Arabidopsis thaliana: one gene and its partner. The protein of the gene in region 1 interacts with the protein of each later gene in a pairwise test. Each region holds a gene or a part of one and is shown on either strand. Other genes may lie near its edges. The genes, in order: AT4G21650 and COPT2.

Evidence for each region.
Region 2: the proteins of AT4G21650 (region 1) and COPT2 interact in a protein complementation assay, tested with the Arabidopsis thaliana proteins (one large-scale study listed by BioGRID).

Annotation. Positions count from the first base shown.
Region 1 is NC_003075.7:11,494,878-11,512,772, forward strand, and holds AT4G21650 (Subtilase family protein), read right to left. Parts: upstream 9,863-17,895; 5' UTR 9,780-9,862; coding exon 9,660-9,779; intron 9,564-9,659; coding exon 9,472-9,563; intron 9,155-9,471; coding exon 9,057-9,154; intron 8,962-9,056; coding exon 8,782-8,961; intron 8,704-8,781; coding exon 8,407-8,703; intron 8,286-8,406; coding exon 7,894-8,285; intron 7,808-7,893; coding exon 7,551-7,807; intron 7,470-7,550; coding exon 7,355-7,469; intron 7,257-7,354; coding exon 7,064-7,256; intron 6,994-7,063; coding exon 6,437-6,993; 3' UTR 6,285-6,436; downstream 1-6,284. Other genes in the region: AT4G21630 (Subtilase family protein), read right to left, coding at 1-52, 318-409, 510-623; AT4G21640 (Subtilase family protein), read right to left, coding at 1,957-2,513, 2,586-2,778, 3,275-3,389, 3,487-3,659, 3,843-4,213, 4,333-4,629, 4,736-4,921, 5,012-5,109 and 2 more; AT4G21660 (proline-rich spliceosome-associated (PSP) family protein), read right to left, coding at 11,382-11,456, 11,556-11,717, 11,807-11,911, 12,029-12,110, 12,214-12,356, 12,516-12,578, 12,677-12,796, 12,874-12,975 and 7 more; CPL1 (C-terminal domain phosphatase-like 1), read left to right, coding at 16,634-16,951, 17,190-17,666, 17,894-17,895.
Region 2 is NC_003074.8:17,259,503-17,274,175, forward strand, and holds COPT2 (copper transporter 2), read left to right. Parts: upstream 1-9,372; 5' UTR 9,373-9,384; coding exon 9,385-9,861; 3' UTR 9,862-10,008; downstream 10,009-14,673. Other genes in the region: AT3G46860 (Serine protease inhibitor, potato inhibitor I-type family protein), read left to right, coding at 732-792, 901-1,097; AT3G46870 (Pentatricopeptide repeat (PPR) superfamily protein), read left to right, coding at 3,509-3,892, 3,983-4,018, 4,131-4,520; AT3G46880 (uncharacterized protein), read left to right, coding at 5,791-5,907, 5,999-6,041, 6,298-6,398, 6,468-6,584, 6,681-6,764; AT3G46890 (maternal effect embryo arrest protein), read right to left, coding at 6,914-7,528. UniProt on the Arabidopsis thaliana protein: Involved in the transport of copper.

The DNA of each region.
Region 1 (17,895 bases):
AGAGAATCCATATTGGTAGCTGTAGATCAGCGAGTTATGTGCGTCGTCTTTGCTGTATATATCATTAGAGACACAAGTAAGAGAAGTGCTCCTAACAAAACAAAAGATAAAAACAGAGGAAGGTCCAAGTTCCGTGAAGAAACAGAGTATGGCGACGGCAGTTTTCTTGGCACCCAAGAAAACGTATGTAATATATTATTATCAATTCTAGCAGATGTCTTGAATACATAATGGAGATAAATTATATATATGAAAAGTTTAATAGGTTAATGTTTAATATAGAGATTTTATCTTGGAAGATGATTAAAGTAAAGTACCTTTGAAGAAGTGATTCAAGCATTTGATGATGAGAAGCTGTGAAAAGTTCTGGATCATCGTGTTCCCTTTCCCCAAGATACACTATATAAACCTAATAAATTGGCCAAAAAAAACACCGGAAAAGTTTAGAAATATCAGTAAACTCTTAGCGATTTTCGCAAATAGATACCTTCTTTTCTCTAATTACATACTTTGCTGTCACTGTCTGAGGCTCCTTCAGCTGCAAGAAAACTCACCCCTGTCTTAGGAAATAGGACCAAAGCAATCGACAATAGAAACACAAGTGTGGATAAACAGTTCTCCATTGTCTGAAGTGAGAAGTGTGTGCATGTGTGACTGTGTGGTATAGAAGCTTTTTTATATACATATAAATAGTAAATAATTCGTCTTAAGCAATAAAATTTGGGGTTAGATTCGAATTTGGTTCGGATTCAATTATTGGTTTATTCAACTTATTATGGTAATTCCGAATCAGACCGGTTTTATCTCTCGTGTAGCGTTACTGATATTCCCACCATAACTTTTTGGCTCAGTTTTAACTCTTACAATTGTCGTCTTTCTTATTATAGATATACGAATAGTGTACCTAATTATATATATTACCTAATTATAATTCAAATGAGTATAAGACTATAAGAGGATATCAATAATTTCTAACTAAATGAGTAGGTTAGGTAACTGTAATTAAGAAGTTGGTAGATCATGATTGACTGAATTACTCAATTTAGTATAGAATGATTATATTCTGAACTTTTGAAATATAGAAGACTCTACACCGAAATATAGGATCACAGGACAGCAAACCAATTCCGGATTTTTTTTTAATGTGTATATCGTTTTGAATTTGTTTTTTTTACACACTTTATACTTTATAGATTATAAAATGGTGACCACGGATAGTTGAATCTCTTTGATAGATAGTGGAATATTCCAAAGGTAGTACGATGAAACTAATTATATGGCAATCAAAGAATCGTAATGTGTGCAATCTTTGCTTAATATATAACTAACTATTTAACAAAATACAGAATCAAAAATTATATGATAAATCAAACAATCGTAATGTATATGTGCAAATTTTGCTTAAAACAGAATTACGTTTTCACGTACATTACATGATTCGCCACATTATGTTAATTTGGCTATAAATTAGTTATTAAAGTATATAGACTCAACATGAAAAAACTCGGTCAAGGGAGATTAAAATGGCAAACATTAATCATTGTTAAGCCTTTTAAGACTTTCACTATGGATTGTAAGAAGGAGTGTATTGCTTATTGTTAAGATATAATTAAGATCACATCTTGATTCTTGATCTTAATAATATATAGTCATTATGATGATTATATATTTGCTATGTTATGTTATAGCTATAGATTATGAGATCATGAGGATCCTTTTGTCTCGATTCGGTTTTAGTAGTTTTTATTATATGGATAATATATGGTTGTGATGAATAGATGAGGAAAGATTACTGTTATCTCTATTTGTATGTTTGTGTAAGAGATTCTAAGTTTGTGATTTGATATTTTATTATGATGATGATCTTGAATCTTGATTTGACACTTTGAACTTAGAGTTGCAAGAGTAGTTACATAAGAACAAACACAATGAGCATCATATATATGGCTCTTTTTATTACATCGAAATCGTTGTCTTCACTGAGACAGGGATTGTAACATCATGAACACCATCAGTCCATGTTAAGCTTCCAAAGAAGTAGCCACTGTTGACTTTATGACTCGTTTTAGCCTTAACCGAGAAAGTGAGTACTCTCTTTGCTGCAGACTTAAACACGAGTATGGTCGGGTTCACGGTGAGAGTTATACCCAGAGGAGACTCGATCACGGCTCTATAGACTGACTTGATGGGTCCAACATTGGTTACAGTTCTTGTGAGTGTGACTTCTTTCTCAAGATTTGGAATTGTGATTGAAGGTAAGTTGATATCAAGCATTGATGGCTTAGGAATTGGGCATTTAGTCTTTTTACCGAGCACACGAGAGATTGAGGAGTCGTTGTAACCCGCAGAACACATATAATTGATGTAATCTTTGATCCCCATATCGTAGACAAGTCCTGGTTTAGCAGCTTTTTCAGGGTTTACAAGTCCTCCTCCATAGTCAAATGGATCTGCAAGCTTCTTGTTTGATCCTTGAGCAAAAATGGGTTCTCCAGATGGACTTGTTCTCCAAGCTACAAAAGAAACAGATCGATTGGTTCGTGATGGTTTGTTTATGAAAAAGAAGAATAAGAAGAAGCAAGAACCTGTTGTGACCAAAGCTGATCTCATTGCAGCAGGAGACCACTTAGGGTGTAGAGATTTTAGGAGAACTATGATTCCAGAAACAACAGGAGTCGACATCGATGTCCCTGAATGAAGTTTAAATCCGTTGAACGCACCAGGATCAAGCGGACTCACTGCCGCGAGTATGCTAACACCCGGTGCTGCTATATCAGGCTACAAAGTAAAAACATGACCAGATATATAAGACCATGTACATAGGAGATTTTTTGTGGGTATCATAAGCCTAAAAATATTAAATTAATAGACAAAGCAACTGATTTGGACTTGAGAAGTATCACTGGAGTGATAATTTCTGATACCAGTCTCTAATGACGTGGCGGCTTGTAATTAGTCGAAAAAACGCGTTTTTGTGGAAAATGAGAGAAAAAAAAATTATTTGCTCTCGACTATCGCTCCAGTAGCCGATGCTAGCATGTAATTTCGATTTTACAAATAAATTTTGTTTTTTGATGATACCAATACTGGTCTTACCACTGGAAAGAGATTATTATGAGTATCATAAAAAATCTCAAACAATAAACAAGCATTAAAATTAATAATAAAAAATTGTTGATGATACTCTATGAGTACCAACTATGTGCATACTCTAACAAGTTTACACAAAAAGGATTCAACTTTTAAAGTAAATATAGATAAGAGGCTTTATAACCTTGAGAATGGCTGGTGAAACCGAGTTAGGCCCTCTAGATGAGAATGCAGCAACCTTAGGCGTTGCAGGCTGGCCGGTTAGTGTTGTGGCCGCACTAATTCTCACAGTGGGAGATCTGTTGGTTTGACGGATCAATAATGTATATATTCCAGAAATGTATATGAACTTATATAAGTATGTAACAGAGTGTTTTGGCATCAAGATAGAGAGACCTGGTAGTACGTATGTATTGTAAAATGTGAGTTCCAATCTCATAATCTGTGAAAATGTAAGAATTGTCTGGGGCAGGACGATCATCAGGCTTTTTGGCTAAGATGACTGCTACTACACCTCTCCCTGCAATTGAAGAAGGATGAGTACTATCGAATTCAAGAATTGTTTTCCCCTTCACATCAACATCATCATCCAAGAAAGCTAAACCCGTTGAAATTTCCGGTCCAGTGAACAAAGATTCAGCCAAATTAGATACCAACAAAAAACAACAAGTTAATTTGAGCTTTTGGTAGCAAAAACAATAAGGTCGAACTTTGAACTATTTTCTCAAAGTTATTTTTGGTATCAAACGTACGAAGAAAGTTTGGTTATTCCCAAGTGTGATCTTTGTAGGAAAAGACCGGTCAAGAGTAGTTGCAGCAACAGTCAAGAGCCATGGAGCAACATTGCAAATAGTCTGAGCACCAGACCCATCATTTCCCGCCGCAGCTACAACTGTAATCCCTTTAGCCACCGCATGAAAAGCCGCGATAAAGTCGACCCTCTCGGAATCCTCGGGAATACTCGCCCCAATAGAAACCGACAAAACATCTACCTGATCATGTATAGCATCATCATAAGCCTTCCACATATCAGCAGATGAGCATATACCGCCCCATCCCACTACATTCCAACATGCCTTGTACGAGGCTATGCGGGCCCGAGGGGCTCCACCTCGGACCGTACCTGATAAGAATCCCACATCCGTTAAGAAAAATAAATAATGTCTTATAAAACCGGTACCTTGACTCTTAAGTTAACCTTTTTAGTGAATAAAATCCATAAGGTTTTTGCTATATCACTACCTCGTGCTAGACCATAAAAGCTTGCGTTGGGAACAAATGAGCCACCGGCTATTGTGGCTGTATGCGTGCCGTGACCGGTTGCATCTCTGTTGGATTTGAAATCACGGATGATTATTCTGTTAAATTTTCCTCCATTCATGGCGAGTAGACCGCTTTGATAGTACTTAGCTCCTATAAGCTTTTTGTTGCAATGCATTGTGGCGTTAAACTTTTCTCCTGATCTACATTTTCCTCTCCAACGCTTAGGTATTGGTCCAAGACCTTGATCGTTGAAGACCTTTGACTCTGGCCATATCCCTGCATATACATACATACATGATGTGCGCCAAGGAGAGAGAGCGAGAGAGTTAGATTTAGAGAGAGAGAGAGAGTTAGATTTAGAGAGAGAGAGAGAGAGAGAGACCTGAATCAACGACGCCGATGATAGCTTCACTGCCCATGCTGGTGTTATGAAGTAGACCTTTCGCTTTTGCAGATGATGATGAAGAAAAAGAAGTTGGAATTGGAGAGAGGCCAAGATGATCCCAAATTCTTGTGGTTTTCAGTTTCAGAATCCGGTTTGGTATAACATGGATTACTTCTGGATGTTCTGTGTTTATATACAAGATTCTGGATTAGGAACCAAAAAATCTTCAATGCTCGAAGACCTTACATGTGAGTTTTAGTTTTGTTTGCGTACCTGAGATTTTCTTTGCTTGTGAAGATGTAAGAAGCGCCGCGAAACCAGAGAATCCATGCTGGTAGCTGTAGATCATGGAGTTATGTGCGTCTTCTTTGCTGTATATATTATTAGAGACACAAGTATGAGAAGAGCTCGTACCAAACAAAGGAAAAGAAACAGAGGAGGGCTCAAGTTCTGTTAAAAACAGAGTATGGAGAGGTTTTCTTGGGTGACAAGAAACGTATTTGTTATATAATTATGAACTAATCATATGTCTGAATATATAATGGAGATTGAATTTAATATATGGAAAGTTTAATGAACCGTCACAGTATATATAAACAAGTTCAATAGGTTAATGTCCAATATAGAGATTAGTCTCTATAGAAGAAATTTTGGCCTTCTTTTAAGGATGATTAAAGTAAAGTACCTTTGAAGAAGTGATTCAAGCATTTGATGATGAGAAGCGGTGAGAAGTTCAGGATCATCGTGTTCCCTTTGGCCAAGATACACTATATAAACCTTATAAATCCGCCAAAAAACCACCGAAAAAGTTAGAAATATCAGTAAATTCTTAGCGATTTTTCGCAAAATAGAACACCGTTTTAATTTAGTTACATTTACATACCTTGCTGTTACTATCTGAGGCTCCTTCAGCTGTAAGAAAACTCAGCTCTGTGTTCAGAAATAGGACCAAAGCAATTGCCAATAGAAACACAAGTTTGGAACTTAGGAAAGAGTTCTCCATTTTATGCAGTGAGAAGTGTGTGTGATTCTGTCGAAGAGAAGCTTTATTATATACATAGTGTGTCTTTAGGGAGTGAACTATTGCGTAAGATTCGAATTCAATTATTGGTTTATTCGGCTCAATATCGGTATGGTAATTCTGAATCATACCGGTTTTATCTCTTGTGTAACGTTATTTCCCGCCATGGATCTCAAGAGGGCTCAGTTTTAACTCTTACAATTGTCGTCTTTCTTATTATTGATGTCTTTCTTATTATAGATATACTAATAGTGTACCTACTTTAATTTCAGCTGAGTATAAGAGGATATCAATCATTTCTAACTAATAGAGTAGATTAGGTATCTGTATAAGTTGGTAGATCATGATTGTCTGAATTACTCATTTTAGTAAAACAGATTATATTCTGAACTTTAATATATATAGGATCACAGGAGAGCAAACCAGTTCCATTTTTTGCATTTATGTGTACACTAAAATATCACATCTTTATAATATATAGTCAATATGATGATTATATATTTGTATGTAATGTTACAGCTATAGGTTATGATCATGATCTTTTATAAGAGATTCTAAGGTATTTGTGATTTGATCTTTTATTATGATGATCTTGAATCTTGATTTGACATTTTAGACTTAGATTTGCAACAAATTACATAAGAACAAACACAATGAGCATCATATGGCTCTTTTTATTACATCGAAATCGTTGTCTTAACAGAGACAGGGATTATAACATCATGAACACCATCACTCCATGTTAAGCTTCCAAAGAAGTAGCCAGTGTTGACTTTGTGACTTGTTTTAGCCTTAACCGAGAAAGTGAGTACTCTCTTAGCTGCAGACTTAAACACGAGTGTGGTTGGGTTCACGGTGAGAGTTATACCGAGAGGAGACTCGATCACAGCTCTATAGACTGACTTGATGGGTCCAACATTGGTTACAGTTCTTGTGAGTGTGACTTCTTTCTCAAGATTTGGAATTGTGATTGAAGGTAAGTTGATATCAAGCATTGATGGCTTAGGAATTGGGCAATTAGTCTTTTTACCGAGCACACGAGAGATTGAAGAGTCGTTGTAACCCGCAGAACACATATACTTGATGTAATCCACAATCCCCATATCGTAGACAAGTCCTGGTTTAGCAGCTTTTTCAGGGTTTACAAGTCCTCCTCCATAGTCAAATGGATCTGCAAGCTTCTTGTTTGATCCTTCAGCAAAGATTGGTTCTCCAGATGGACTTGTCCTCCAAGCTACAAAAGAAACAGATGATAGTCTGTAACGGTTTGTTTATGGAAAAGAAGAATAAGAAGAAGCAGGAACCTGTTGTGACCAAAGCTGATCTCACTGCAGCAGGAGACCACTTAGGGTGAAGAGATTTTAGGAGAGCTATTATTCCAGAAACAACAGGAGTTGACATTGATGTCCCTGAAAGAAGTCCAAATCCGTTCTGTTCTTCTGGATTAAGCGGACTTATTGCCGCGAGTATGCTCACACCCGGAGCTGCTATATCAGGCTACAGAGTAAAACATGACCACATATTTAGCAAAGTTTACTCAGAAACGTTAAACCTTTTGAAGTAAACATTGATAAGAGACGCAATGGCTTAATAACCTTGAGAATGGCTGGTGAAACCGAATTAGGCCCTCTACATGAGAATGCAGCAACCTTAGTTGTTGCAGGCTGACCAGTTAGTGTAGTAGCTGCAGTAATTCTCACCGTGGGAGATCTGTTGGCACGACGATCAATGATGTATATATATACATGCACTTGTGTAGTTAAGAGAGTGTTTTTGTTTCAAGATAGAGACCTGGTGGTACGTATGTATTTTAAAATCTCAGTTCCAAACTCGTAATCTGGAAAAATGCATGGTACACCATTGCATCGAGAAAGAAGATCATCAGGCTTTTGGGCTAGGATCACTGCTGCTACACCTTTCCCTGCAATTGGAGTTGCACTATCGAAAACAAGAACTGTTTTCCCCTTCACATCAACAGTGTCATCACTGTCTGAGTCCAAGAAAGCTAAACCGGTTGAAATCTCCGGTCCAGTGAACAGAGATTCAGCCTAAAAACGAACGAACAAAAGAACAACAAGTTACTCAAAAAAGAACTCCAAACTTTGAACTGTTTTCTCTAACTAGTAAAACGTACGAAGAGGGTTTGATTATTCCCAAGTGTGATCTTTGTAGGAAAAGACCGGTCAAGAGTAGTTGCAGCAACAGTCAAAAGCCAAGGAGCAACATTGTCAACAGTGTGAGCACCAGGCCCTTCGTTACCCGCAGCAGCCACAACCGTAATCCCTTTAGCCACCGCGTGAAAAGCCGCGATATAATCGAGCTTATCGACTTCCGAATCCTCGGGAATACCTCCCCCGATAGAAACCGACAAAACATCAACCCCATCATGTATAGCATCATCAAAAGCCTTCCACATATCAGCAGATGTGCATCTTCCATCAGTTCCTCCTCCTTCATCTCTCATTACGTTCCAACACGCCTTGTACGAGGCTATTCGGGCTCGAGGAGCACCACCTCGGACAAGACCTGATAAGAATCACACATCGGTTAAAAAGGAAACAAACTATTGTCTTATAAAACTAGTACCTTGACTCTTAAGCTAACTTCTGTGGTGAAATAATATATATATATATATATATATCAGTACCTTGGGCTAAACCAAAGTAGCTCACGTTGGGGACAAATGAGCCACCAGCTATTGTGGCTGTATGTGTACCGTGACCGTTTGCATCTCTGGTGGATTGGAAATCTTGGATGATTGTTCTGTTGAATTTTCCTCCAATTGCGGCGACTACACCGTTTAGATAGTACCTAGCTCCTATTAGCTTGTTGTTGCAATGTATTGTGGCGTTAAACTGTTCTCCAGGTTCACATTTTCCTCTCCAACGCTTAGGTATTGGTCCAAGGCCTTGATCGTTGACTGCCTTTGACTCTGGCCATATCCCTGCATATACATACATACATGATGTGAGCCAAGGAAAGAGGGAGGGAGTTAGAGTTAGAGAAGGAGAGAGTTAGATACCGGAATCAATGACACCGATGATAGCTTCACTGCCCAAGTTGGTGTCATGAAGAAGACCTTTTACAGATGATAATGAAGAAAAAGAAGTTGGAATTGGAGAGAGGCCAAGGTGATCCCAAGCTCTTGTGGTTTTAAGTTTCCGAATCCGGTTTGGTATAACATGGATAACTTCTGGATGCTCTGTGTTTATTTACAAGATTCTGGTTTAGAAACTTTGTTTTCAGAGTCAAAGATACGAATATTCCTTAAATGTGAGTTTGAGTTTTGTTGAGTACCTGAAATTTTCTTAGCTTGTGATGATGTAAGAAGCGCCGCGAAACCAGAGAATCCATGTTGGTAGCTGTAGATCAGGGAGTTTTGTGCGTCTTCTTTGCTGTATATAACATGATATGTAAAAGTGAAATATGAGCTCATAATTCATAACAAACAAAGTTTAAAACAGAGGAGGGTTTCAATTCTGTGAAGAAAAACAGAGTATGGGCTAATGAGTTTCTTGTGTGACAAGAAACGTATGTAATATATTATTATCAACCTAACAGATGCCTGAATAAATGTTTTAACTAATAAACATTAAACATGTATATATGACAAGTTTAATGAATAGTTACTGTACATATAAACAAATTCAATAGGTAATTGTCCAATATCATTATTAGTAGAAATTTTTAAAAGATGATTCAAGTATAATACCTTTGAAGAAGTGATTCAAGCATCTGGTGATGAGAAGCTGTGACAAGTTCAGGATCATCGTGTTCTCTTTCGCCAAGATACACTATATAAACCTATAAAATCCGCGAAACAAGAGTACCAACAAAATTTAAAATCCGTTAACTCTTAGAGATTTTTGCAAATAGAGAAAGGTATTTTTAGTTGAATACTTTGCTATCACTGTCTAAGGCTCCAGCAGCTGTAAGAAAATCCAGCTCCGTGTTAAGAAATAGGACCAAAGCAATAGCCAATAGAAGCACAAGTTTAGAACTTTGTAAAGAGTTATTCATTTTCTTAAGTGAGAAGTGTGTGGTGGCATAGAAGCCTCTATGGTTGTATATATAGTAAATAATTCATCTATTATTCATCTTTCAATTCACGTTTCATGACTCCACCACCATTTGGGATGAACTTTTGGGTTAAATTCGAATTTCGGCTCGGATTTGGTTTGGTTCGGTTTAATAATTGAGAGTAGTGTCAAACTCAAAACAATCTCACTTTGTTTCAGTTTTTCTTTCGGGTTAATATTTGGTTTTATCACTGAAGTACATTGTATTCAATTTTGGTTGGTTCAAAAAAAACTTACCAAACTAAAACCAATCCTCTCGTAATGGTACTTTTGTTATAATTATTAAGATTTGAATGAAAAATAGGATTTCACACTTTATAGATAAAATAGATAGTGACCACCCATAGTTGAATCTCTTTAGTAGTGGGAATCCAAAGGTGTTATGGTACGATGAACCATATGTGACTCGTTTTTCAGCATGTTTTATAATGGCTAGTACTTAGTAGTTTAATTAGTATGTATGTGAAACTCATTGTAAACAGAAACCAAAATGACAAACATTAATCATTGTAGAAGCGGAATCCACTTAGCTTAAAACCTTTAAGTGGTAAAGCTAAATTTGTCTCATTTCAAGCATATATACTTTCTTATGTTTATATTAATCTTAGATTTCATTTGTCTAGCAAAGTTAAACTTTTAACTACGTGTTAAAAAAATTCTGACATCGCTTGTAGGCTGAATAACCATTCATATTTGGAGAGACTTCTTGTTGTTTCTAAATGTGTCTACCATGTAGAGGCCTATGTATAATGATTAATAAGCGAGATTTGAAAAGAAGATAAATAGATAATGTTGAAAGAAAGGTGAAGAAAGGCGATTTAGGAACCCTACGACTCTACGAGTCATCATGCTCATGATAATGTTGAAAGAAAGGTGAAGAATGGTGGTAGCCCGGTAGGACAATGAGTGGCATAATTGGCCATTTGTCGCTGTTTCATTACTCTCCCGGAATGAGGTGTGGTCGAATCATTTGTCGCCTAATATTGGAAAAGTAATAGAATACATCATTGAAAAAATCCACAGTATGTTAAGTTTTTTTCATCACATGCAGGGATTGAACAACCCAAGGATCATGCCTATGAATTAGTTCACACTATGCATATGACAGTAACATATGAACATAATTTGGTTTCAGGAGCGAATGTCGTGAAAATGTACATATTTTTGCCTCGCTTAAAGATAACAAGGTGCACTGAAATAGATCACATCGACGGTTTATTCTGTAGACCGAATGATCAATCTTTTAAAAACCATAAACGCTGAAAGTACTCGGACAATTTGAAAAACAAGACGTCGCTTACAAAACAAAGCCTTTTTTCCCCACTTTTTTTGTTCCAAGTCTCAGGCTTTGAATTTGTTCAAATTCCAAAAACAAAGTTTTACTTAAGCCTTCAGATAACAACATAGTATAGAATCTCATAAGCATTAAGACTAAAACTCAAGATCTCTGACTCAAAGACTAATAACTCTGGAACAAGAATCTCTCCCTATCTCTCTCATGTCCAGAATCCAGAATCCTTTTCCGTGTCTCTTCCAGAACACCTCAGAATTTGAAATCTTTCTTCTTCTTCCCTTCCTTGTCATGCATTTTCCTCTTCCTACTATTCTGCTGCACATGCTGTTAAACATTCCACCAAGTAAACGTTTGATTATTCATCCGCATTCATATCAATAGTGTTGAAAAAAATAGAGATATAAATATAAAGAAAGTCATTACCTCGACGACCATGTCACTCAAGTCCACTGGCTTATTGCGCAATTTCTCCTCTTCTCTTGCCTCCTCATACTTGGCAGGTAAAACATTTTCCATAGCATCCAGCTCTTCTGGCTGTAAGCTGACATCCACTCTGTCTGTCTTCTGCCCTCTCAGCAAATCAACCTGCTCAATTTGACACAATTGCATACGTTAGCCCACTTGTCATCAAGCAAAACAACAAATCTCTGAGCATGTAACAACAGACTGCTTACCCTTTTGGCTCCCGTCTTTTCTTGAGTACCAGTCTTAATAACGTATGTGTGTGAGGTTCCCAGCAATGTTCCAGGAGCAACACTCTCTCCCTTTTCCTCGAGTACCTTCACAAGTCAAAAAAAAAAAGGCATTAACGACCAGAAACAGTGAATTATTGGTTTATATCAAACTAATAGAAAAGCCTACAAGGCGTGTAAGATCATCAAAATTAGGTTTCAAACCTGGTATAGAGCCCTATCAGGTTCCTTTCTCTGATCCTTACGAAGTTCAATTGCATCCGGTGTCTCTATACCAGTAGGAGTGCTGAAAGAAGGGGAAAATCACAAATCAGCTTTATACTTAGATTATACTGATAAGGAAACAAATAAATAGTATACACCTCATAAATGCATAATGATAACAATACCTTGACAGTGTATCAACAGATTCAGTGCCGTCTTCTAGTTCCTCTTCATCCATCTCCTCTTCTTGTTCCTCTTCTTCCTCCTCCTCTTCTTCTTCCTCTTCCTCTAAATCACCCCAGTGCTTGCTCTTATCAATTGGCTCCTCCTAAGATAATGATAAAATACAACCGTCATACTCTATCACCAAATTGTATGATCTCTAAATATTCAATAGGACGCTTTTACTTTGTATTTTGTGGTATCTACCTCGTAGCACAATATGCAATTACTAAGGAGAATAACAGAGAGAGATGAAAACAGTTACCTCGTAGTTAGGCTGATCTTGTTGCTGGACACCAAAAACATCTCCATACAATGGACGCCCATACTATGTAACACAAACGATAAGAACGGGAAAAAAATAAAAGTTAGTAGATGGCATAGAAATAATAAAAAAGAAGAATGTAGATAAAAAAAAATGCTTACTTCGTCAACTGGAGGTTTCCCCCAGCCGCCAGCATGAAAACCAAAGCTAGCTCCAATTGGAATAGGAGCATTCAAACCAGGAATTTTCAGATGTGGGTAAGAAGGAGGCGGACCATATCTCTGTCAAAGAAGAGATTAAAGGTGAACAACTCGATTCCAATCAGAATAATTAAAAAGATAAGTCACAATAAACTCACCTGCATGTTAATCAGCCATGGGGGAGGAGCGCCTTCAGGCATACCAAGAGCTTCTTTTAAGTCGTTTGACAAAAACCCTGGTTTCGTTTCCCTCAGTTTAACCTATTTCCCAAATGATAGTAATTAGATTTTAGGTAAACAAACCAATGAAACCAAGCAATGTAATTATAGATAAAGCTGAAAAAACATGTCACAAGGAATTACCTCAAATTCTTTCCCTTCAAAATACAAATCGCCTAGAGCTGACAGCTTAGGCTTTGTTTGGTATTTGAAAAATGCATCATGAAGTACCTGAGAAAGGAAAGAATAGCTTCACTTGTCAGTTATAGAACAGATATCAGCAAATACTCATCACAAAACAAAGATTAAAAAAAATAGAAACCTGGTAGTCAATGTCCATCTTTCCCATTTTTGGTTGCATTCTCTCCCGTTGCTTTTGCTTCAATTTCTTACCATCTTCTTTCTCAATGTAAGCCTACATAAGAACCACACAAGAATTAGCTGACAGTAGAAGCATTTAGCGACTTGCACCTTATATTGATAGAGAATAACTTTTACCTGTCTAATCTTCTCAATTCCGGTTGCAGCAATGAAATCAGGAAGATGAAATGGCTGCTTCTCTATCCCACGCTTTCCCTGCAAAAATGAAACCCCGCTGAGATGCCACCAACTTATAAAAAGAAAGAAAAAGCAGTATAAAAGTACTACAAAAACAGATGCATCTAAAAGCAAGATCACTATCATGCATACGAAAACAAAATACAGTTTCAGAAAGGGAATATCCCAAACTGATTCATTAAACAGTTTACTCCAAAACCTAAGCACCACAGATTTCATATATAGACAGAAAAAAAAAATTAAGAGTCCTCTCCGGTTACACCTACAAGTCCAGGCTCCATGGTTATCACAGATGTTCTCCTGCAAGAAGCATATATAGGTATAAGGAAACTTAATTGACATGGTTATCACAGACGTTTCTATCCCTCTTGATATAATTCCCCTATGTACCAGTACCACACCCACAAATCACAGAAACATATAGTTAACTACAGTACATTACTAGAATTATCACAAACCTGCAAATATTTTCTCTTCTGCGACCAATGTCTTGGAACAGGAACTGTATTCCGGTACGACTTCAAAAACACTAACAGCTTTGGATCTGCTGAAGTCGCGTCCCAGACCTGAAAATTGTAAAACAGAACTTATGAATATACAATAGATATCTACACAACGAGATAAACCTTGGTACTATGAACACAATAGAGAAGCATCCATACCTCAACAACATCAGGCCTAGCGGAAACCTGCTTCAGCTCAGCAATCTTCATTCTCCGTTGAAGCTGAGGAAACAGAAATTCAGAATATTCAGAATCTAAAGAATGCAATAAAACAAATTGAGAGGTAATAATAAGGTTTGAGCTATACCTTTTTCTTCTTATTAGAGATGCCTTTCTCTTTGTTCTGATTATCCTGCTCGTCGTCGTCTGAATCAGAATCAGAGTTAACCTTCTTTTTGACATCTTCTTTCTCCTCAGACTCATCTTTCGTACCGTCTTCTTCAGAGGCAAGAGGTTCGCGGAAGTTGAACTTCTCGAAGATTTCCTTAAACTCATCGTTAAAACCATCTTCAAATTCAGCTTGCTCTGGAACATACTCTATCACAATCTGCTCACAAACCTATCAAAGAGAAACATATACCAAAAATCATCAGCAAACGATAAACAATCACAAACCCTAAGAAAAACCCTAGAACACCTCTCCATGAATCGAGTACGAGAAGATGAGCACAAAGTTAACCTGTGGCTGGGGATCTGTATTCTCTTTGGATTCAGAAGCAGCAGAAACGTCCGATGCATCTACATCGGCTTGGGATGCTTTGTTGTTCTTCTTCTGCTTCCGTCTGCGGCGGCGACGGTCAATCTCACGAGATTTCTTAGAGGAAGCGGAGGTGTTTCCGTTGGAGACATCACCGTTAGAAACGACGCTATGAACGAGTGCGACGGTTGAATCGGCGGTCATATTCGGTGTTCTCTCTGAATCGGTGATGTGAAAAGAGAGATTGAGAGGAGAAGGAAGAACGACGGAAATCGAGGATATACGTATATGAACAAGAGTCGGTTTGCTGAAATTCTCTCTGATTCTATTTCCGGTTTGGCATAAGGCCCATATAAGTAGAAGACGAATATATCTGCCAATAGGCCCAACACTTTATATTTTTCTTCGAGTGTAAGAATTGTTTTGTAGAAGACCATCTACTAGTAACTAATAGAAAATTTCAAAGGAAATGTATGGAACAATATTCAAACACTACTATAAATGTTGGCACGAGTTAACTCTACATTATTCGTAAAAATGTTCTATTGAACTTTTAAAATTATAAAATTACAGTTTACACAATGTCTTGAAATTTTGAAGAAAGTTATAAGTATCAAAATTGTATATATGTGGGTATTTGAGATTTAAATAAAATTCTCTGACTAACAACAAAACTTTTAATAAAATTTAAATGTTTTAGTTTATTATTCGTAAAAATTTAGTTTTTACATGAATTGAGGTAATTTTTATTCACTTTGAGATTTTATTAATGTGAGCACGACTCCCGGTGTATGTTATCGGTTGTTTATTATGCAATTAGAACAATATACATTGTGCCTTTTTAGTTTCAAAATTGTTTTCATAAGACATTAGGAAAGAACACGGAAAAAAAAGACATTAGGAAAGAATTTTGTAACGGCTTTTGTACGTAACGGTTATTTTTAAACAAGGAAAAAAATACTGTCTATAAAAAAAAATTATCTTTACGTAGTTGTGTATTTTAGAAAACAAAATAAATCATTTTTTATTTACTAAACTATTATTTTATAAGGAAAAGATTGAAAAGAGTAGGGGAAAGATATATGTGAAAAAATATTCATGCTTGGTAGATAAAAAATATTTCACAAATAAAGAGACAAGTATATGTCAAAAATATCATGTCTTTTGAATAAATAATCTTCTAAAAAAAAAGAATTAGATGAACTATAAATATCTTGTGGTATATGAATCCTTGACACTGTAAAAATCAAAACATGAGATCAGAAACACAAGTATAAAAGTACATTACAAGTACGGTATGAATCGAAAAAAAAACAGAATTTGACAGGTTTTGAGCTGATAAAAACTATTTCAGGCTTTTATTAATTTTTAAAAATAGTATTAATTGTTTTTAAAATAAGACATAAATAAAAAAAAGAACGGTTAAAGAAAATGAAGGGGCCCTTCGTGTTTTGTTTTCCCTTAAAAAAACCAAGGACAAAGGCATAATGCCGTATTCACAATCTTGACTCTTCGTTATCTGGATCTAGGGTTTCTCTCGATTTTTAGAACGCCACAAAACCTAATAAACTTTTCCCAGATACACAAACAAACTCATCATCAACCAAGGAAGAAGAAAGAAACTAGGGTTTTTTTTTGTGGATTCATCATCGGTATTTTACAGATCTATATTCAAAGGGAACAAAATCTTAAGGAACAAACACTAAATTTTCATTCTTTCTCTTATTTACCCATTTATCAAAAATCTTCCTTTTGTTTTCCTGATTCTTGCTAAAGAAAAAAACTCGGATCCAATTCATAAACTAGTGTGGACTGGTGATCAATCTATCAATTCTGGCCAAGGGACAACAAAAAGTTTAGATTTTGATGAACCAATTTTGAGATGAGACAATAGACATCCATTGATCTGTAAACTTTAAGAAGGAGAAGGAGAAAAGAAAGTATGTATAGTAATAATAGAGTAGAAGTGTTTCATGGTGATGGAAGACTTGGAGAATTGGAGATATACCCTTCAAGGGAATTGAATCAGCAACAAGATGATGTGATGAAGCAGAGGAAGAAGAAACAGAGGGAAGTAATGGAGCTAGCCAAGATGGGAATCAGAATAAGCCACTTTTCTCAATCTGGCGAGAGGTGTCCTCCTCTTGCAATACTTACTACAATTTCATCTTGTGGCCTTTGTTTCAAATTAGAAGCTTCACCTTCTCCAGCTCAGGAGTCACTCAGTTTATTCTACTCGTCCTGTCTCAGGGACAACAAGGTATCTAAACCTTACGAACCTTTAAGCCTTACTCAGACTTAGATTTTATCAACTAAAACTCAAAAACACTTAATGATAAATAGGATTTTGTGTCATTATTTAACTTCCTTAATGTCAGAGCTGCATCAAGTTTGGGGCTTTAGAAACTTTTAGTAGAGTGGGGGTTTGAATCTTGTGTTGTTTGTTATGTTACAAATTGTCCTCATATTTGTGAGTTTTGGATTTTTGCTTCTTGCAGACAGCAGTAATGCTCTTGGGTGGAGAAGAGCTCCATTTGGTTGCTATGTACTCGGAAAATATCAAGAATGACCGTCCTTGTTTCTGGGCATTTAGTGTTGCTCCTGGAATTTACGATTCCTGTCTTGTTATGTTGAATCTTAGATGTCTGGGTATTGTCTTTGATCTTGATGAAACCCTTGTAGTGGCGAATACCATGCGCTCATTTGAGGATAAGATTGACGGGTTTCAGCGGAGAATAAACAACGAGATGGACCCTCAACGCCTTGCCGTTATAGTGGCTGAGATGAAGCGTTATCAAGATGACAAAAATCTATTGAAGCAATATATTGAAAGTGACCAGGTTGTTGAAAACGGGGAGGTGATAAAGGTGCAATCTGAAATTGTTCCTGCCTTGTCTGACAACCATCAGCCTCTTGTTCGCCCTCTGATAAGGTTGCAAGAGAAGAATATTATTCTGACTCGCATTAACCCAATGGTATGCAAGTCTTGAATCAGTATATGTCTGTTAGTTTCTGTTCCCCGTATACATATATGTTTAGTGCTTACTACACATTTAAAAGACAATAAGTGGTGGTGTGCTGTGTGGTGGATTTCCTTGAATACTTGTGGTATAACCTTTTATTTTTCATTTGCTCCTTTCTGGAGCACCTAGATTTTTCTGAATTCTTGTGGCTGAATCTGCATTCCTATATTTACACACAGAT
Region 2 (14,673 bases), on another chromosome or scaffold:
CCCTTGTTCGTTAGTTTTGATGTTTCTGGTTCCTACACTCATTTTAGTTATAAACATAAAATCTAAGTATTTGCCAGTTCTAATTAAAACCTTGTTGGTTCTAAATGGTTCTGAGAGTTTTGATTTAATTTGGAGAATGATCACATATATTACTACTTGTTTACTTAAAGAAATAGGATATTAGAATCACGTTCATAGTATTTTTGTTCTACTCTTAAAATTTTACGATTTTGTCTTCTCCTTAATTAGGTATATTATAATTTCTAAAAATTCGTTCCCACCCCTAACCACGGTGATATTCCATGATCGAGCCAAGAAAGTAGAAAATCGGTCCAAACAACAAAGCCACTGGTGAAAGAGTGTTTTGGAACTGAACCAGAAAGCCACACAGTAATAACGTGCAGTAAAAAAATAATCTATTGATAATAAATTAATTGATTTATCTTTCTTCTTGTTAAACAATTTTCAATAATGGCTAATTAACGGTTTTTTGGTAAGTGTTTTTATATGGAAACAAATACAGTAAGGTTGTAGTTTGAATACGAAAATTAAAAAAAAAAAAAAAGAGGAAATCAAATAAAGGATTAATTTTCTTATTCAAAGTACATAAATTTGTTTCCATATGAAGCATATAACAATTGTATATATATATAACCAGAAAATCATTAGACAGAGCTCAAGTAAAATAAAAAGCAATCAAGTTGTGTTAGTTGAAAGAGAAATAAGAAGAGATGTCTCGCTATCCTCCATGTTGGTCTGGCTCTTGCGAAGATCCAGAGTGTTGTGCTATAGGTATGCTTTCCATTCTTTTTTTTTTGTTGAAGTGAAATCTTCAAATTCTCAATTTCTTTCATTTTTAATAATACTATATTACTATTTTTAAAACAAATAATTTTCCAGGAAAGAAGTATAGGTGGCCAGAACTGGTTGGGAAAAATGGACAATTGGCGAAAATGACGATCGAAAGAGAAAATCCTAATGTGTTAGCGATTGTCCTTCGATATGGAGAAAAGCGGATTGAAAACTTTTGCTGCAACAGGGTCTTTGTTTATTTAGGTTCCAACGGCCAAGTTGCAGATGCTCCTATGATCGGTTGATCCTTTTAAAACATTATAGCGTCTCTTTATGTTATACCATTGTTGGTAGTAATACAAACAATCGTCAATAACATATCTCGGCATTTAATATTAACCTATTATTCTTTTGGGTAAAATGAAAAATTTCCTTAAATATATAGATATATAAAGTAAAGACAATGTTTTTTCAATAATAATAAAAAAAGATAAACAAATATACAATTCATCATTCGTCACACAAATAAAGTCCTGGAAACACCATTTTGTCTTGTACATTGTAAGAGCTGTCAAAATGGACGGGCGGCCCGTGTCCAATGCTTAATGGACTGGTCATGGACAAACCCATTATGAAGCGGGCATTAATGGTCATGGTCATTAACGGACATGGGCTTTAGCGGACTGGACGTGATGGACATGAACGATCCAATAGTCATAAAATATTAGGTTAAGTGATTTGTAGCAAAACAGAAAAACACTAATCATCGAAAAACATTTCAAAGTGTTAGATTTTTGACTTTTGGATTGATTGATACTTAAATCATTTAATACTTTGTTGTTTAAATTTGCTTTTAGATTGATAATTTCAAAGTGTTAGACTTTTGACTTTTGTATTGATTAAAATATGAAGCAAATACTATTGTGTTAAAATTTGATTCTGTTATGTCATGTCCACTGAACAACCCATTTGGACATGAGCGTTAATGGACATGGGTCTTAGTGGACATGACCTTCATTTGTCCAATATCAAAATAGACATTAATGGATTGGGCTTATGGGCATGGACAACCCGCTTTGACAGCTCTATACATTGTCATTACCTCTCTAGAAGATATATATCTTGTCTTCCAAATTTGCTTCTCAATTTTCATGCCACGGTCATTACTGTTCATGCTTTGTTATTGTTTATGATCGTTCCTCACCTACATTTGTTCTAAACATCTAGTTAGATTCTTCGAGTGTTCTTTGCATTAATTTTCCGGTGCTAACTAAAACCATGTTGGCGCTAAATATCAAAAGAGTCACGAGAATGATCATCAAAGGAGTTTTATACTAAATTATACGCGCTAAAACATTATACTAAATTTTCATAGAACGGTCACAACGTTGGTATGGCTTATGCCTAACACTATCTTCAAAGCGAATATTAGTCAGATCAATACTCAACGTCAAAGTTTTTCCAGATGTCTTGTTTCTGAAGTCGATGCACAAAGATGAGTCTTTCACACGCTTATTATTCCAAGCAGAAGATTATTAGAGAGTTTTGATTAAATTTGGAGAATAATCAAAAATTAAATATCTGGATGATGAGCATCTTAAAACGGTTATTTTTTGGAAGTTCACTACCGAGGATGAATCATCGCGTAATATTGGAAAATAACCATATGCGATAATTCATCCTCGGTTGTTCACATAACGTTCTTGTATTGCAAGAGAGGATTTTATCAAAACATAACTTTTTGTATTGCAAGAAAGGTGTGATCATACTCTGTTTTTTTTGGAGGTCTCTTGTAGCTTGGCCAATGAACACATCTACTTCTCCGTTCGATCATATGACCGAGTTTGCTTATGGAGGTGGCCACGTCAGTCCAATAACTTGTCTATGAAGTTACTAAATCCGACCATATCACTTTCCTTTGCGGCTTGAATTACACAACAAAGAGTTTAAGACTCATTTCGGGTGTAAACAGGAGTGGCAGTGATGAACAAAGCCAATCAATAGCAAGAAACCTCAACTACCCATCCATGAACGGCCATGATTATTGGGCTTTCTAAGCCTATTCTAACTTCCCATTAGTTTGATATTGTCTTTGCACAAATTTGTTTGGATACCTTCCCAAAAGGCTCCAGTAGGAGTTAGACCTTACTTTTTTTCTAATATTCTAATGTGGGTCGTTGGTTTGTATCCCAACAACGACACCAAACCATTCAACCTGACTTTTGGTAGAATAGTCACAAACGTCGGTATGACAATCGACTTACAAAGCCAAAGTACTCTGATCAAAACTCACCATCTGGTTGTTTCAGATTTCTTGTCACTTAAGTCTATGTACTAGAAGAGGTCTTTCACGGTTACGGTTTCAGGCCAAGGTCCCGAAGCTGACAAACTTGCATCGTCACATTTTATATGGTCTGATGGAGTCCATTCTGTGAAATCCTATCGTTATATATGCTAGGAACTAATGTGTCAAAATCAGTTCATATCTCTCTATAATTTATGATTCATTTTGATTATAATGTTCTCGTTTGCTCTCCATCTCCTTTAGATTTTAAAGAAATAGCATCATATCTCACTAAACTAAAAAACGCGACGTTTTAACAAACGAAGCACCATAAAACGGTGTCGTTTGTACGTTTAACACTACCGTTGTGTGTTTTATGTTATTGTGTGATACAGAGGAAAGGCGACGATTCAAAGTTCACGCCTTTGAGAGATGACAGCCATTCGCGTCTGCTCGCGAAAGTTCCCAACTTTCGCTTCGATTTTCTTCCAAAACATTACAAGGAATCCGTCAATTCATCGAATTTCATTCTCGAATTTAAAACCCAAAACGCTACTTCACCCAATTCCGCCGAAACCCTTCACTGTCTTTGTTTCTCGGTTCCATGACGGGAGACCAAGAGGTCCTCTCTGGAGAGGTAAGAAACTGATCGGAAAAGAAGCCCTTTTCGTGATTCTGGGTCTCAAGAGATTGAAAGAAGACGACGAGAAGCTGGACAAGTTTATAAAAACCCATGTTTTCAGATTGTTGAAATTAGACATGTTAGCTGTTATCGGTGAGCTTGAACGACAAGAAGAGACTGCGTTAGCCATCAAGGTGCGTTCTTTACGTGACAATTTCTTCTGGGTCTTTCAGCTTATGTCTCGCTTCAGCTCATCTTTAGTTTGATCTCATGTGCTCATGAAGTGTTCGACGAAATGCCTGAACGGAGCTAACATTAGGGTAGTTATATTGTTTAAGTTTTAGACCATCCTTTATAGATCATATACGTATATTCTTATGGTTTTGTGTCGTTTTTGTTGTGTTGTTGATGATTGGTTTCTTCAACTTATAGATGTTTGAGGTGATCCAGAAACAAGAATGGTACCAACCTGATGTGTTTATGTACAAGGACCTTATAGTATCCTTAGCAAAGAGTAAAAGAATGGATGAAGCAATGGCGTTGTGGGAGAAAATGAAGAAAGAAAACCTCTTTCCTGATTCTCAGACTTATACTGAGGTTATCAGAGGATTTCTTCGAGACGGATGTCCAGCTGATGCTATGAATGTGTATGAAGACATGTTGAAATCTCCAGATCCGCCGGAAGAGTTGCCGTTTAGGGTTTTGTTGAAGGGGCTTCTGCCGCATCCGCTTCTTAGAAACAAAGTGAAGAAGGATTTCGAAGAGTTGTTCCCTGAGAAACATGCTTATGATCCACCAGAAGAGATATTTGGTAGATGCTGAGGTTTGTATGCACATAACTTTACTCTTCTATCTCAGACTTCAAGTGTTTCTTCAAACTGTTCTTTATGAATAGTGTTTCTCTCCACTTATGAAGTCTTAGTCTTTTGGCAATTTAGATGTTTGCGACTGTTATTCATCAATGACTTGTGTGCATTGTGCAGGGGAAGTCTATCTTGATCAAGATCCAGAATGTGTGATCCTGAAGAAGTATCAGTAGATCTGAGCAAGTGGCGAAACAAAAGACTTAGTTAGTTAGACGAACCCAGATGATGTAGCGACTTCTATTCCTTGTTATGATGCTTCATGATATTAGGCAGAGACCGAAATTTTGTGAATGCATCATCTTTATGAAGTGACTTCTATTCCTCGTTCTGATGCTTCATAATATTAGTCAAAGACCTAACTTTGTGAATCTATCATCTTTTGAGTAAAGAAGATTCTAAGTTGACAACTTTTCTACTTTTTCCACATTTCTTTGGCCTCTCATGTTGTCGAAGGGCTCTTCTTTTATCATTCTTACTTCATGAACAACTTAATAGAAGTTTATAATCGTCCTTGTGGGCGTGCCGGAGTGGTTATCGGGCATGACTAGAAATCATGTGGGCTTTGCCCGCGCAGGTTCGAATCCTGCCGCTCACGTTTTTGTGTTTCAATATGATAATCATTGACCCCCAAAAGATGAAGACATCCCCATTTGAGTGCTCTTTAAATATACATGACCAAATCCATTCGAGTATTTGGAATATTATCTGGTCATTTTATTAATGTATTATACCATTATGTTATCATCCACTTGACGAGACAAGAAGAACATTTTTAGTTTGGGATCAATGATATTTGACCATTCTTTATTAATGTGACATTACTGGTGAAATCTATGAAAATGATGGTAAGATCTTCCGCCAAAATCTTCTTTTTGAAAAAACTGTTAAGACAACAGTGGATTGAAAAAGCTCAAGTACAATTGTGTTTGGCTCTTTGTGATCAAGAAAGGTTGGAATCCTATATTTTCTCTCTGAATATATTTCTTTCGTATGTAAAATTGCATCTAACATAGTAAAATCCAAAAAACCAAACCGAATTAACTAAATCAAAATAGTGGTGGGGACTAAATTTAAAAGCAGTTTTTTTGTTCTTTTGACTTCTCACATTATCATATTGTAGCATTTTCTATTTGTCTATATATACACTCATGATCTTCTACATTTTTCATCATCTTCTCTTTTCATTTCCTTCTAAGTGATTAGTTAATAACACATTTCTCTTAGTAATGGAGGGTAAAGGAAGAGTTGGATCATCATCGTCTTCTTCCTTCACAGCTCAACTCTTTGGCCCCAAGGAACCTTCCTCCTCTGCCAACTTCAACTCCATTTTCCCTCCTTCCAAGGTTCGATTATTTCTCTATAGTTTCTTCTGTTACTTTTTATGATGGATTCTTGAAATTCATTCTTCCTTTCTCATTTTTTTCGTGTTTTCAGGGAACAGCAAGAAACATCCTAAGCTCCAAACATGGGTCCCTAGGTCAGTGGAAAAGTCTTAATTAAGCCTCAGAAAACTTGTCTCCCTTCTTGAATCAATATGGTTCCTTTCACTTTATATTAAGCCAGGTTTTACTAGAAAAACGTTTTGATTCATCTCAAAAAACCTTCTATCTCATGCCAAGAACGGCTCAAAAATTCTTCATCTAAGATTCACCGTTCTTTAGTCAAGATTACTATCCAAATCCGGGTGGTCTAATGGATACATTATCTCCTTGGTTTTCGTGGTTTCTTCACAGAACAACGTAAAGAAGCTGGAACCTGCAATCTAAGCTCATCTCTTTACTACGGTGGTCAAGATGTTTACTCTCACCCCACACACAACCATACTTACCCTACAGTGAGTTAACATAACTATCATTTTATCATCCACCCCTTCATGTTACTTTGATTGTTGATTTTTTCATAGAAGAGACAAAATCTTTTGACTTTACAAAACGTTGAATCATTCAGATTAACAAGGATCAGAACAGAGATAACAACGATGCCAATTCGTCTGACGCCTCTAGAGGAAACTGGTGGCAAGGTACTATACATACCCTAACCAAATGATGTTTGTTACAATATTCACGTCTTTGTTTGTTTTGCTTATAACATATGCCTAATCTTGATATTTTCGCAGGTTCACTATATTACTAGAAGCTTCTCTAAGTGCGTCTCTGTAGAAGAATATCAAGTTGAAACAGAACAATATTTGATTGTTTGAACATTTTGTTTGTTCTTAAAAAAACTGTTTCAATGATGTATACTTGACTGTCTAATGTTAAACCAAAGATTAGATCTCTGGCTACAGAACTAATCGAATCTGAAACCTCAAATCCATCAGACAAGAGATTGTAGAAACCCAAAAAAGGGTTAATAGATAAATGCGTAGAGCACAAGGAACACATAGATAATAAGTGCAGAAGGAACAAGTACAACAAGAGGAACAATAGCTGCAAGTGCATGAAAGCTTCTCTTACATTCCAAAGGTCCAAGTTTAATCTGAACAAGATCCACTAACGCCATTGTCAAGAACCCACATCCCAAAACCGACGCAACACACGAAGCAACAATCCCAACCCTTAAAGCTGCCAAGTTCACACGCCCCTCTCCCGCGTTCAACACACGCGCCTCCTCCTCTAAACAGTTCCCGTTTGTTGTTGTTGTTGTTGTCCTAATTGCTTGCTTGAGAGACATAGCGATGAGACTGGAGAAGAGGAATAAACTGAAGGAGTAAACATGGCTTGATACTAGCCTCTCCGCTAATGCGGGACCTTTTGCAGAGATACATCGGCGGAGATGGTGGTTCTCGGAGGCTGATGAGGAAACCGGGAAAGTGATGTTTCCACTTGTGGTTAGGCCGAGGAAAAGAGCAAGCGAGAAGAGTGAATTAACGTTCACGATGCCGTCTATAGCCGTGACGTGGATTAGTGTAGTTGGGAGGAGTCGTCGCCGGAGAAATTCCACGGCGCCATTGGAGATTGCCATCAAATCTGAATCGTTATAGCTCCTAGACAACAATTTTGATTGAGAGAGATAGAAATTTAGTAATTCATATTTAGAGAAAGTTTAGCTTTTAGTTGTCAGTTTTCCGGAGACTGTGGGAAAATGTGAGTAGCGTAGAAGCTAAGTATTGCGTGACGTCTCCGAGGAAGAAAACGACGGACAGGTAATGATAGGAAACGTGAACCGCAAGGTATCGAACCTTTTTTCTTTTTTGGGCTTTTGTATCGATACGTCGTCGTAGAGGTCATATTTTTTTTTGTCTTTTACCCAACAACACTAATTAGAGAATTTTATATAATCTCTATGATTAGCTTTTCTATAATTTTGTAAAATCTTCATATAATCTTGTAAAATCTGTCTAAATATAATTACAAACTTTGTCATTAATTATTTTTATCTCTTAGAGGGTGATTGACATCGCACTGTCAAGACTTTAAAAGCATTTGACAGTCCTTACAGCATTTTTTCATACAATCAGACTGTTATTTGTTTTTGCTCTTATACAGTCTTAAAAGTCAGATTTTTTTTTACTCTCTGTAACTTCATTTTTATCTAAAGCCATGTAATTGAGACTTTAAGTGGTGTTAAAGCTTTTGCAACAATTATTATTAGAACATATCTCTAAAATATTGGATAATATTTTCTCATCTTCTATAAATACTATTTTCACCAAAATGATATTATTATTTTAGGCTTTCTTTATAAAAAACGTAAGTATTGATTGTCAAAAAGTGTACTCTCCCAAAATATTCCACTACGATTTTGTTAATACGTAAGTTTTCAAATTTTCCTAATTCATCTTCTTAATTTGTGTGTTCATATACTATTGTCTTCTTTGTGTTTGAGTGTTTTGGTTTTGTATATTTTTTTTTTATGATTAAAATTCTAGTGATTATCAATTTTTTTTCTTATTACTATCTATACATATATGCTTAGTTTATGGGGAATTCCCAAAAGAGTAAGGAAAAAGGTCAATACAAACTGTGTCGTGAGGTTTTGAGGCTTGTGATAATCTATGGTCATTCTTCACGATGGTTTATCATTGGTCTTTGTTTATATACAAAGTTATGATTCACAATCGCTCACTTTTTATGATATTTTCATGATTTTGTTTTGTGAATAAAAGTGTATAAAATTATAAACCAATAATACAATAATTTAAATCATTAACAATCATAGATTCTTTTGTTTTTAGTTGAATATCACAAAAAAATTGATGACTTTATTAAATTATGAATCCAATAACTTCAGATTTATTAAGACTTTAGATTACTTTTTACAAATCAAAATTTAATAACACTAAACTTTAATAGAATCTTATAAAATCTTAATTGAATAACAAAAGATTTTTCATAACATTTCAAACCACTAAAAATCTATATAAATAACAAACCAATAACACCTCCTTAATTTTGGTTTTGAAACCTAAGTTACTAAATCCTTAATTACATTTGTATAAATTCTTTTCAAATTATTAGATTTATTCTAAATTAAAATTAGATATTCTGTGTAAATTATTTATTATACCAACGCAAAGAAGATTAGACGAAGAGGCATGGAGTTGTAATGTTGTATCATGCAAATAAGGTAAATACTATATATATATTTAGGGGATTATATAGTTGTCTTTCTTTTGAACATCTATTTAAGGGGATTTTCTAAATTCTAATATAACGAATGTTTGTACTACACAAAAAAATTTAACAAGTCAAAAGATGATGTACTTGTACTACAGTACAACACATACATTTAAGAAATCACAATAAATACGAACCGATTCTCTCTTAAAAATTTTGTCTACAAGAAAATCAATCATAAACCCTATTAACATTAGTATCATGGATCATGATCACATGCATGACATGCCACCACCATCACCATCATCATCATCGATGTCGAATCATACAACACCACACATGATGATGATGCACATGACCTTCTTTTGGGGTAAGAACACGGAGGTTCTCTTCTCCGGATGGCCCGGGACAAGCTCCGGCATGTACGCTCTCTGTCTCATTGTTATATTCCTCCTCGCCGTAATTGCCGAGTGGCTCGCTCATTCACCGATCCTACGTGTCAGTGGCTCAACCAATCGAGCCGCCGGGCTCGCTCAAACCGCTGTGTACACACTCAAGACTGGCCTTTCGTATTTGGTGATGCTCGCTGTTATGTCCTTTAACGCAGGTGTTTTCATCGTCGCTATCGCCGGCTATGGCGTTGGTTTCTTTCTCTTTGGGAGCACTACTTTCAAGAAACCCTCCGATGACCAGAAAACCGCCGAGCTTCTTCCGCCGTCTTCAGGCTGCGTTTGTTGAACAATTGAAATTACTCTTTGTTTTTTTTTTTATCAACAAAATTACTCGTTGTGTTATAAAGAACTTTTCTTTTGTGTGTGGTTTGGTTTTAAATTTTGATATTTCGTTTTGGTTTAACTCGATTAATAGTGGAAGCTAAATATTTTCAATTGATTTTCTTAGGTTACAAAAATTCACTAAATTAATTCCACAATTTCTTGAATATTTTGTGACTTTTGGATTTTTTTTATGAAATCACAAAATTAATTCCACAATTTCATTTGAATTTTGAAGAATATGGCTATCTTTTTCTTGCATTATTATAGATAAGTGTATTTGACAAATTTTGAACCACAAACTTATGATAACAAATGCTGTCCATAGAAGGTTCTTGTAACCATCCACAAGTATTTTCATTGTAAATACATATATGGAGAAAAGAAGAACTAAATTATTGATTTTCATCGTATGATATATGCATGTCTACTCAATATATCTAAGACAAAATAAACTGATCATTTAACTTTAATTCAGTCACCTATTTGATTCACGGTCGGATTGGATTTCGATCGGTTTAGATTATCAAACACTATTTCTTTGTGTTTGAAATCTAATGAACCTTATTTTCTTTTCTTTCAGGGTTGAATTATTCGACTCTTAGTTTGCTTTTACTTCTGATGTCATACAAACAAATTCAAAAAACAGAAAGTAGCACGAAGAATAAGAGCCGCCCAAAACAAAAGATGTTCACGGACTAGGTGAACCAATTATATGAATTAGGGTTGGGCAAAATATTCGTTCGATCCGCTTCGATTCGGTATTTGATTTGATTTGATTCGAAAAATCCGAATATCCGTAAGATTTTGGACCAAAGTAAATAGGAAAATGTAGTATTCGTAAAAACCGAATCAAATAACGAATATTGTTTTTTAAAAAATCGAATATCCGCTTCGATCCGTATCTTTTTATATATATTAGAAAATATAGTTATATCTATATATAGATATCATAAATAGTTTATGTATTGTTGTCATTTTATGTTTTTATGTTAAAATATTTGTTTGTTCATTTTTTTAATGTTATGTTTTGATCAATGGCATCAAAAACTATCGGGTTTTAGTTTTTGGAATTAGTTTGATAACATTTTGTTGACCGATGATACCAACAACGGTTGTGTTTGGTATTTAAAACTTATTTTGAAAGCATGTTTAATAAAAACTTTGAATATCTGATATGGTTATATAGTATACAGTTTTTTTTAATATTTAAATGTATCAAAGCGGATATCTGCAAATATCACAAAAAATTCTGGATATTCGAAATTCCGGATATCCGGAAATTTTCGAAGCAAAGCAAATCACAAAATCAAGTATTCGTTTAAAACAAATCGAATAACAAATATCACAATTTTTCCGGATATCCGCTTCGTGCCCAGACCTAATATGAATGACTGGTCCATGCATTATCGAATTACATTATACATGTATGTGCTCTCTTTTTAATAGAAGTGATATTGCAAAAACTTATATTAGTTCCAAGCTTTCTATATAGAAATTACGAAATACAATTAAAAAGATAGACACCGTCGTTGACAATAGAATTAATAAATTAAGATATCTTGAGCTTAGCAATAATTTATTAACGGTCAACCAATAAACAAGTACTAGTATAGTACGTACCAAGAGAACGGCAAGGTTCACGCCTTTTCTTTTCTTTGGAAAGTAAATGATTTGAGAGGACTAGTTGATTTCTTTTAGAGGCTAAAATGGTTATATAAACTTATTAAACCGTTCTCTAAATATTCTATAGTTCTACTATGCTAACCAAGGTTCCAAAAAACAGTTTAGGCCGCCTGCCTAGGCGCTCATGAACCACAAAGTTATGATAACAAATGATGTATATAAACTATCGTCGAACGATTTCTTGAACATTGATTCTAGGAAACCGCACAAAAGGATTCGAATTCAACATGTGATCTTCATCTAACCGGTAGAGTTGGTTTAGTTTTGTTCGGATACATTTAATCCGGTTTAGCTGATCGTCAATAAGAAGAACAACCAACATAACTACAGAAGGCATGTGTTACGCCTTGAGAGAACCATTAAAGTGACTTGCGCAGCAAGAAATTGTCTATTTTCAGTCATTAAGAATAACCTTCACAGATCAACTCACAATCTACAACTTATCATTTGTTTCTTTAACATTGAAATGAACAGAAGAAGAAACCATTGTACTATTTTCTCATGACTATATACATGCCATTTTTGGAACCTCTCTTCAATATTAATTATGTTATTTTCAGGAGAACCAAGAAGTACTGGTCGACGATGGAATCTTTGAATCATGGTGCTTCTAAAAACATATATATATATATATATATATATATATATATATAAGTAAATAAATATCAATCTATAATTAAAGAAAAACAGTAAATTAAATTAGTAAAAGAAGCTCTCATAATGAGCCGAAACATTCACACTATATACTTTAAGGATTTCTCAAGCTCGGGGTAATACAATTCTTGACTTAGTTTTAAAATAAATCATAAATTTGTAAAAGGACTTGGGACTTTTTTATATACGTTAGAAAACTATTATTTTGTAATACTGTGAAAGTAGGAGCAATAAAAGGTAACAAAAAAAAACAATTATGAATATATAGTAAGATAAAATACCTTTAATGCAATATATTTCTTTTAATTATCACTAGGGCTCAATTTAAATAAATCATTTTGTAAAAAAAATTTGGTTTCCAAAGATTTGTTAACCTAACTTGTTCAATTTAAGTACAAAGTATACTGAAAATATGTTTCCTCTGTATCTTATGGATCGATGCCTCTGATTCCACTTAGTTTGACAATCGGCTATCATGAATCCACAACCCATTAATCGCTTAATCACAGAAGATCATGATGAAGATAAAGATCCAGCGAATATATGCATGTTAATCAAAAATATTTATCTTATTTTATATACTTATGTATTTTTTCAAAAGTAATAAATGATCGTGAATGTAGGTATTTAACTTTTGATGCATATTAAATAGTTTAAATATTCAAATTTCACGCATACTGTTCTTTTTTCTAAAAATTTGTTCTTTTTATGAGTATTTTTAGACAACCACTTAACTTCATATTATATGTAATTTTTGTTTTTTTTTCATACTATATTGTTTTTATAGGTTAAAGAATTTAATATTCATTTCAAAATTTTTAAATCATGGCGTATACGAAAAAATATATATTTATATTATATAGATGATGTGATGAATTTATATGTTTTACGAGGCAAACGCCTTATGCGCAAGGCGAATTCAGAGACCATTTGCGTCTAATATCGCCTCTTGCTATATCAAAGACAATTCAGAGACCATTCAGAGATCCATTGCGCTTGTCTACTATATCAAATCATTGTATAGTGACTTCTTGTCACTGTTTCTATGCATAACATTCATTACTTTGAGTGAATATTAAATGGTGATAATGACGAGCTCCATGTGAATCCCGACATGGTTGGAACAAAAGATGGTGGATGAGAAGAGAGATTGACTTAAGGAAGAGTTGCATGATGTCCACGTCAACATCGAGCCTATAAAGAGGATAAAGAACACAACCACAATAATACTACAAAATGTGAGTCTTTTTTTTCAGAAACTGTAGGACAATGCTACTTAGGACAATCTATTATGCATATGAAAGCTGGAACATTTTCAAGACTGTCATATTTTCTACCGTGAGTGGAGCAGTTGGCATGATAATGTCAATTCCACCAGTTATCTACAAATTCTTACATAAGCTGGAGCGGTACATGAGGAAAAATATAAGAGGAAAAGGATGCCCCGACGAGCGGATTCCACGAGTGTATGTTGAGTTATCAACAGTGGCAGATGCACAATATTGGCAAGGGAGAGGGTGAGATGACCCCCATAAATCTTTGAATTTTTGTTTATAATCTTATGTTCCATTTGATTATTGTGGTAAATTGGTTGCTTTCTCATAAATTGACCTCATGTCTAGTGCTCAAATCTATTCTTTGCACCTATGGAAACCATATTATATTGTTTCAATCATTTCTTTTGCATTATATTTTTAGAAAATATTATTGAACTATGACAAAATATGTTAAAATGGAATGATAAATATACTGTATATTATGAATAAAGAACAATAATGATTATCTCTTATTTTCTTTATTTTTAAAGACAATGAATTTTAATTTTTTAAGGATTTTTTTTTTTGAAATTAAATATTATATTTAAATATTTTATTAATTATTAAAATAAAATATGATCCCTATAACAATTTTTTGTAGCTCAGCCACTGGTTATTAAGCTTCTTTAGTGAAACACCTAATGACTGAAGATGATTCGTCCTTCTCGAAGAAAAAGGGGAAGTATCAAGATGCTAGAGATCTTGGCGTTTTTCTTGGGTTCGGATCGGCACTCGCTGATCCACACCCATGAGTAGCTCAAAGATTGACGGCGATTTATCCTCAAGTAAACAGAAAAACGATGAAGATCGGAGACCTTTCTCTTCCTGTGATTATCTCCGTGAAGACTACTCCTATAAACATATATATTGACTCTTTCAAATTTTGGTGGGTATGCTGTGTTCGTCATAGCTATGACTATCCTATTTTGTTTTTCATGTTTTTTGACATCATTTAGTTAAACGAGACCCTAAAATTTATTTGGATGATGCTTGGAAAAAGCTATAAGAACCATCTTCCTCGATGAGCCACAAAATTTTAACTGCAATGAGCTTATCAGCGTATGTTCTTGTATCTACAATTGCTTATTCTTCTTTCTTCCTGAATGTTTAATTTTCTTGAC